Linked DNA regions of Cricetulus griseus. The protein of the gene in region 1 binds, or shares a complex with, the protein of each later gene. Links are inferred from orthologs where the notes say so. Each region holds a gene or a part of one and is shown in the gene's direction. Other genes may lie near its edges. The genes, in order: Tmprss15 and anionic trypsin-2-like.

What was found.
Region 2: the proteins of Tmprss15 (region 1) and anionic trypsin-2-like are in contact, whole or in part, in a cryo-EM structure (PDB 8ZIV), measured with the Homo sapiens proteins. The link is inferred for Cricetulus griseus from reciprocal best matches to the Homo sapiens genes TMPRSS15 and PRSS1. Residues at the interface, in NP_001414986.1 of Homo sapiens: Tyr276, Thr277, Ile279, Trp297, Glu298, Leu316, Glu318, Asp320, Glu321, Ile369, Gln370, Ser372, Phe374, Pro376, Phe377, Ala389, Gly399, Pro400, Gly401, Gly402, Arg403, Glu405, Glu432, Asn433, Lys485, Ile486, Leu487, Val513, Pro514, Thr515; in NP_002760.1 of Homo sapiens: Phe18, Asp19, Asp20, Asp22, Lys23, Ile24, Val25, Tyr45, His46, Phe47, Cys48, His63, Cys64, Tyr65, Lys66, Arg68, Ala91, Lys92, Arg95, His96, Arg101, Lys102, Leu104, Asn146, Tyr175, Phe188, Leu189, Glu190, Gly191, Gly192.

What each region holds. Positions count from the first base shown.
Region 1 is NC_048597.1:16,541,008-16,544,082, forward strand, and holds the end of Tmprss15 (enteropeptidase), read left to right. Parts: intron 1-1,988; coding exon 1,989-2,144; 3' UTR 2,145-2,345; downstream 2,346-3,075. UniProt on the Homo sapiens protein: Responsible for initiating activation of pancreatic proteolytic proenzymes (trypsin, chymotrypsin and carboxypeptidase A).
Region 2 is NW_023276806.1:227,421,270-227,425,847, reverse strand, and holds the start of anionic trypsin-2-like, read left to right. Parts: upstream 1-1,537; coding exon 1,538-1,577; intron 1,578-2,560; coding exon 2,561-2,720; intron 2,721-3,600; coding exon 3,601-3,854; intron 3,855-4,224; coding exon 4,225-4,361; intron 4,362-4,578. UniProt on the Homo sapiens protein: Has activity against the synthetic substrates Boc-Phe-Ser-Arg-Mec, Boc-Leu-Thr-Arg-Mec, Boc-Gln-Ala-Arg-Mec and Boc-Val-Pro-Arg-Mec. The single-chain form is more active than the two-chain form against all of these substrates.

The sequences.
Region 1 (3,075 bases):
GTTTCCCTAAGAACTTGTTTAAATTGCAGATTTAAGAGTCCATCACAGGCTTGCAAATCAGAATCTTAAATTGAGGCTCAATGATGTTTGCTTTCTTGTGTCCCTCAGGTGACTATAACATATAATAAAGTTTGAGAACCATTGTTCTAAGCAAAAATAGTAATTAATCCTTTCACATTCAAAGAAGTTAGTGATCTTTTGTGCTTGTATAAACATATACTATGTATACTTACATACTGTAAATAGTATCAAAGTAGAAACAGAGTTGGTTTTAATATTTTGTGTTCTTGCATTAGTTTATGAAATAGTTACATTTCCTTGAAATAATAGAAGAAATGTCACTAAACAAATTATAAAATCAAGGCCAGGAATTTACATAATATAAATGACATGATGTGGCTGGACATTGGGAAGTGATATATTGGAAACAAAGCCAAGGCCCCTGGCCATGCAGAGACCCAGGAGAAAGGCAGAAAGCCTTATTCAGGGTTCAAGTGTCCCTGCCACTCAACTGACTTAGTATACATCACGTCAATTAAAACATTTGGTCCTAACATCAATATTTCATACTCACCTAATAAAATGTCAATTATTTTCATGAAATAGAAGGAACCTTTTAAAAACACCTGATTAAGCTTTGGTTTAACTTTAGTAACTTCTAAAAAATATAGAAGATATTGTGAGCAATAAACTTCATAAATATATCTAATATACAGATTAAGACCTTAGGACACAAAAGTAAAAATCACTGCCCTTCCTTCAGACAGTTTTGGTACAATTGTCGCACTTTAAATGTAGGCAACCTGTGACTGCCAATGCCACCTGTGTTCCTCTCTGTCCAATAGTGGAGCAGGGAGTGAGTGCTTTGACAGGCCACCTTCCCCCTTTTAACAGAACACTAAAGGAGGTTAAAACATTAGGCAAGGGGTCTCTCAGGACAATTCCTAACAGTGAGCCAAATTTTGAATACTTCATTACAGCAGTGGTTTTCAATTAAGTATATAGCATTTCATATTGTTTCATGATATAAAAATAAATAACTTGCTGGTTAGTACATGCCTTTAATTCCAGCAGAGGCATGCAGCTCTCTGTGAGTTCAGTGCTAGCCAGATCTCCATAGTCAGTTCCAAGCCAAGTATAGGCTACATAGTGAGGCCCTATCTCAAAAAAAGACAAATAAATACATAACCAGAATTCTTTGCATAATATGGGAGTAATGTGTGTCCATTTTTCATAATTAAGTTATGCTATTACATGTACATACCATTTCTTTGGGCATTAGATAGGAATTATTATGCACAAATAAGACCTATGTGATCAGGATCAACTATCACTTACCTCACTTGCAGTGTGACAAAAAGCCACACTCCTATAACTGAAATCTAAATGAAAACATATGTTCTGATTACTAGAAAATAAGAGATTTGATTATTTTGATTGAAATGTTAAGGTTTTCAAATCTGATTGGTATTTGACAAAACTTTCAGTCACATAAGAGAACTAACTCCAAAACTGTGTGAGAGCTCTTAATTCTTCTAAAATCACAATGTGAAATAGTTTTGCCTTTCACATGAAGGCTTTTTCTGGTACTTATATGTTACTTAATAAAGTGATTAGCATGTTGATGTTGCTGGGATTTTTTATTGTGGAATTTTAGAATGTTTAACTGTGTTGAAATAAAATGACAGAGCTAAGAAATGCTCCACCACAGGCTGGAGAGATGGCTCAGCCATTAAAGGCTAAACTCACAACCAAAAATATAAGAAACGCTCCACCAAAATTATAAACTTTCTGTTGTTACCAATGGGCCCATCTTCTTGAATAGCAAATTTCTGATGGCTAAAATGATGGTGAGAATAGACACATAACTGGCAACCGATCATATTTCTTTACATTTATATTTTTATTGGTAAACTTAGCACAGTTGTACTTATTTATACTGGATTGGCCATGTACCCACAATTTCCTTTTTTTTGTTTACACTTTAGGGTGATTCGGGAGGGCCGTTAATGTGCCAAGAAAACAACAGGTGGTTTCTTGTTGGTGTGACATCATTTGGAGTCCAATGTGCACTGCCTAATCGCCCTGGGGTGTATGCCCGGGTCTCAGGGTTCACAGAGTGGATACAAAGTTTTCTACATTAGACATTTTCCCGACCCAAACATGAAAGTTGGACAGTGTTTGTTTGATTGTTTTTCCTTTTTACTCAAAGTAGCATGGCAACTGAGAGTTTCATGAAAAGGAAAGAAAAGCTTTTCTTCTAAACTGAATCATTTAAATATTGGAATAAGGAAGAAAGACAAAACAAATTCAAATCAATCTTTGCAACATAAAGTAACTCTAAAATGGACTTTTGTTTCATAATAAACAATTATTTTATAGACATCATTTCCTTTGTTTTCAATCATTTTCATTACCTTCTATTATGTGAAGGGTTATTATTTTAAGACATCTGCAAACATTTAAGCAAAAATAGGTAAAGAAATGAAATGTAATAGTTTGTCTGAAGTGTGGTGTTTGAAATGAACTGTTGTAACTCATCTAATTGCCCTTTAGTGTACCACCAGAATCACCCTTGTTTTCTTTCTTTACCACCTGAGTGCATTTCTATTTAAATGTAATATTTTCCCTGTTCATATACATTTGTTATAAACTCATATTGCCAACATGATCACATCATCAATATGCCTTTTGTCCAGGTAAAGAAAACACACACACACACACACACACACACACACACACACACACACACACACACACACACACGTCTCTCTCCTGACCATAAAACATAAAAAAGTAAACTAGATAATAACATCATTCTACACAAATAATCTTTATCTGGGTCATTTTAACTTAACCATTTATGTCAAGCTGGTATTTACTAAAATCTTAAAAACAAGCAGGTATTTTGAGGAAATTCAGCTATTAAAATTTTTTTCTTAGTTTATATATTTATAGAATATCCTTAACATGAACAACTTGTTCCTTAACAGCTGAATTGTCCATTAAAGCCAAAAATGTGTAATAAATTAATTTGCTTTACTACTTTAATCTCTTGGATCATTTCCAGAGTAA
Region 2 (4,578 bases), on another chromosome or scaffold:
CTGCATACAGCATTATACTCTGCTTTCACAATAATAGAAATATCCACAATCTTCCCATGTCTCCTTGTACCTCATTGCTGTTCAAAAGTCATGTTGAATATTGACCAAAGCCATTCTATTCTTCAAAATTAGTATAGACTTCTAGAACAGGCAGTTGTACATAACAAACAGGGTAGATATTCTTAATACAATTACCTAGGGCCACATTGATAGTCCTTATGATAATCACGGATTATAACCATGGTATTGTTTGTATACTCTCAAGGTTCCCATGTAGCCTTAATATTACATAAGTAGGAAAGGCAAATTTCTTGAAATTGTAGAATTTGACAATTGTATTTGTGTAGTTCTTTGCCCTCTAAAAAAAAAAATGTCTAAAATCAGGGAGCCTGCTTAGAAAGCATATTCTCTCAATGACCATCTTATTAGTAACTCTGTAACTCCCTTCTTCACATCACTGATGTTCCAGGGTTTGTCCACAGATATCCATTTTTTCTTCTTCTTATTAATTATTAAGGAGATTAGCCAAAATCAGAGCAAATCAATTAAGGAACCACAGATAAACATTTTCAGAGGGATTGTTCAAAGAGCCCCACTATGTACCCAAAGGAGGACTTTTTCAAAGTTACTAAAAGCAACTTCCATCCATCAAGGGATTTCTTTAATTTAATATTGTACTTAATTATTTGTTTGTTTCTTTGTTCCCCCCTTTCTTCTTTCCCAAGTCCCAGCCATCCCTTTTCTACCCTCAGCTCCTCAGTTTCTTTTCACAGCAGCACAGGCCTCACATGGAAGTCAACAAAAAAGGGTACATCAAGTCGAAGGCTAGATATGGCTGCCAAGAATGAGGATTAGTGTCCCAAAGCTGGCAATAGTCAGAGTCAGCCATTTTTCCCACTGTTAATAGTCCCAAAAGAAGACCAAGCTGCAAACTATAAAATATAAACAAAGGCCTAGGTAAGTCCCATGCAGGGGCCTGGTTGTCTGTTCATTCTTTGTGAGCTCCTATGAGTTCAGGTTAATTTATTCTGTGGGTTTTCCTGTTGTGTCCATCTGAAGGTTTCTAAGCATCCCATAAAGTCTTTCATCTCCCACACTTATTAATTTAATATAGTAGAGCAGAGCTGTGGACACACAGATTGACCGTGACTGTTTCCCCTATTCTAGCATCCTTTCAAGAATCAGCTACGACTCTGCCTACCACTGCTGTGGAGGCTCCCTCATCCACCTCATCAATGACCAATGGGGGTGACTGCATCTCATTGAAACAAGGCCTAAGTAATGGTTTCCTAACTGCATTGCCCAAAGAGCGGGGCATCTTTACTTTCATGAGAACAATTTTTTTTTGACACCTGAGGATCTCCTATTGCCAAGAACTCTAAAAAGAGTTGACATTAAGAATCCAAGAAGTGGAAAATACAGGTGTGTTTGCTCAGTAACGGTCAATGGCATCACACTTCCACTTCACCAAGCAGAGTTCTCCTCCTTAGACATATAAAAGCATGCCCCTCTTCAGACCCCACTACCTTCTGCCACCATGAATCCACTCCTGATGCTGGCGCTTGTGGGAGCTGCTGGTGAGTCATGCCATGTCCAGTCCTGCTTTTCTATTTAATTAAAAAACATGGACTCCTCCTTCAAAGCCTTCCCTACTACATTAATTCTCCACAATTTTACTTGACGTTTTGTAATTTGTCAAGCTTCAGGACAAGCTTGATTCACTCACTAAAACATCCTTTATTGAATTTAGAGCCTTGATTACCTAGACTGAAATAAAAAGCAAAACTGAAGGAGCATAGCATGAACCAGGACTCATATTCTTCAGCATCAACCACACTAGGAATCCTACAACATAGTAATTGATGAATTACAGAGGGAAGCAAGCGATGGGTTAGGTGACTGACATGCAATCAGATCCCATGAAGTGTGTTTATGTCAATGTTCTATCCTTTTGCTGGAACTATGAAGAGTTCTGAGCCCACTAAGATCTACATACCTGTCCTGCATTCCCTTACCCTGGCAGGTATTGAATCCCAGGGCTGACTCCTGGGGAGAGTGATTTCCCTGATTTCTTTCAGTCATTCTGCTCAGAAAGTAATATTGAAACGGTGGAAGGTACTAAGCAAAGCAACCTCCAACAACATGATGAGTTTGCTTCTACTTCCTGTCTCCTCCATAGTTGCTGTCCTGGCTGATTCTCTAAAGAGAAACATCCCACAGGAACAAACAAATAATAGATGGAAAAATAAAGCAGGCCATGTTCAAAACTTGATTCTAATATGATCAAGTTGCTAAGTGTTTTCTTAAGTCATTCTTGCTGTCCTAACTCTGATGCTTAGAAGTTATCGCAGCCCTGTGACAATGGCCTATCTTTCCTATGGAGCCAAATACTAGGAAACCCAACAATCTATGTTACATATTGGAAACAGAGGGATCTCCACTTTCCTGCATTCATTGTGCTCAGTAGGAAATCCAAGGTTGAAGCTGCCATCGAGCCAATGGCTTTACCATCTAGCATGCTAATGACTTGGCTTGTTCTCATCTCCTATCTCCACTCTAGTTGCCCTTCCTGTTGATGATGGTGACAAGATTGTTGGAGGCTACACCTGTCAGAAGAACTCCATTCCATACCAGGTGTCCCTGAACTCTGGCTACCACTTCTGTGGAGGCTCCCTCATCAATGAGCAATGGGTGGTGACTGCAGCTCATTGCTACAAGACGTAAGTGATGGTTTCTTGATTGCATTGCTCACAGAGTGGGGCATCTTTACACCAGGCATCTCTATGAGCCAGTGAGGAAGATGTGGAGGAAGGGGAAAGATGGGGAAGAAAGATGGAGTGAACAGCACTGGATGCTCACAGTCTTTAAATAAACACCAATACATAATAGGATATAATAGGATGCTTCAGCAATGCACACACACACACACACACACACACACACACACACACACACAGAGAGAGAGAGAGAGAGAGAGAGAGAGAGAGAGAGAGAGAGACATAAAACAAGAAAAAGACTGCAACTAAGGAAGGCTTTCTTTCTCATCTTAAACACCAATGAACCTGGAAAAGTTTTTCACAACAGCTTTCCCTCCATAAAAATAAACAGTAATCAGTGTTTTAAAATACATTTGAAGATAACTATGATTGTTGATTAGGAATTATGTCCAGAGTATGAGTCTTTCACAAGGTCTGAAAATCATACTGTGAAATTCACACACTATATTTTGACCCTTCTGGTTGAAATGCAACAAGACGAAATCTTTTCAAAATGAAATGATGATTAAAAGTTCCTGCTACTACTGTACATGGAAAAGAAGGATGAAGAGAGCTTTACATAACTCCTTAGATACTTAGCCCTGGATCTTTTTGTATATTAGAGTGAGGAGAAAACTACACCTCCTTCACCTCTGGTCCTGTACACGTCTCTCTGAAAAAGAATGTGAGATTGTGAAAAACAGCGCCCTGTCACCATCCTGATTCTCCCCCTATGATACCGCAGCAACAGCTTTCAGTGGCACACGGGTGTGAGGAGCTTGAGAACTTTGTGATATCTGCAGTCACAGAGATAAAGAAACTAGCCTGCCTCTCTTTCCAACAGTCGCATCCAAGTGAGAGTGGGAGAGCACAATATCAATGACCTTGAGGGTGACGAGCAGTTTGCCACTGCTGCTAAGATCATCAGGCACCCCAGCTTCGTGAGGAAGACCCTGGACAATGACATCATGCTGATCAAGCTGGCTTCTCCTGTGACTCTCAGTGCCCGGGTGGCCACTGTAGCTCTGCCCACCTCCTCTGTACCTGCTGGCACTCAGTGCCTCATCTCTGGCTGGGGCAACACCCTCAGCTTTGGGGGTAGGTAGGAGGGGTCACCTGCTACTTCTCTTGTGTCAATACACTCTGCAATCACCTCCTCTCTGGAGTTATCCCACCGGCTTCCAGACTGCAAATGCATTGCAAGCGCACAGCACATGCAGGTTCTCAAGCAGAGCCAAGACAAATTTGTACAGCAAATGGACTGATCTCCAGAATGCTGTCCAGGCGCATGCACAATGTGCTCTTATTCTTTTGGGAAGGACATTAGCAATGAATGTTGTGTAATTGAAAAGCCACAATTTCTGAGTGGAACGTAGTATCTCAGGGAACACTCCATTGCTTGCCAGTTGTTTCACAGCAGTATTGTTGTCTGGATGCAATAGTCTTCATAGTTTTCCTTTCCTCACAGAGCTTTATCCAGACTTGCTCCAGTGCCTAGAGGCACCCGTGTTGACTCAGGCTGAATGTAAAGCTGCCTATCCCGGAAAGATCACTGATAACATGTTCTGTGCTGGCTTCCTTGCAGGAGGCAAGGATTCCTGCCAGGTCAGTGGCACCCTTCATTTATGCAGACCTCTCCTCTCCTGGGTGGTTGGTTGGTGGGACTTCCAAACATAGTGTTTTGGGTCAGCAATTTTCCTGTGGTGGTTCTGTGGGAAAAGAGGAGGATAACAGATAGGCCAGAGAGAAAAACAAATGTTCTAAGTGAGAAGAGACAGGTATTGATCAAGTTGAGAATACACACAGCTTTATATCACATATC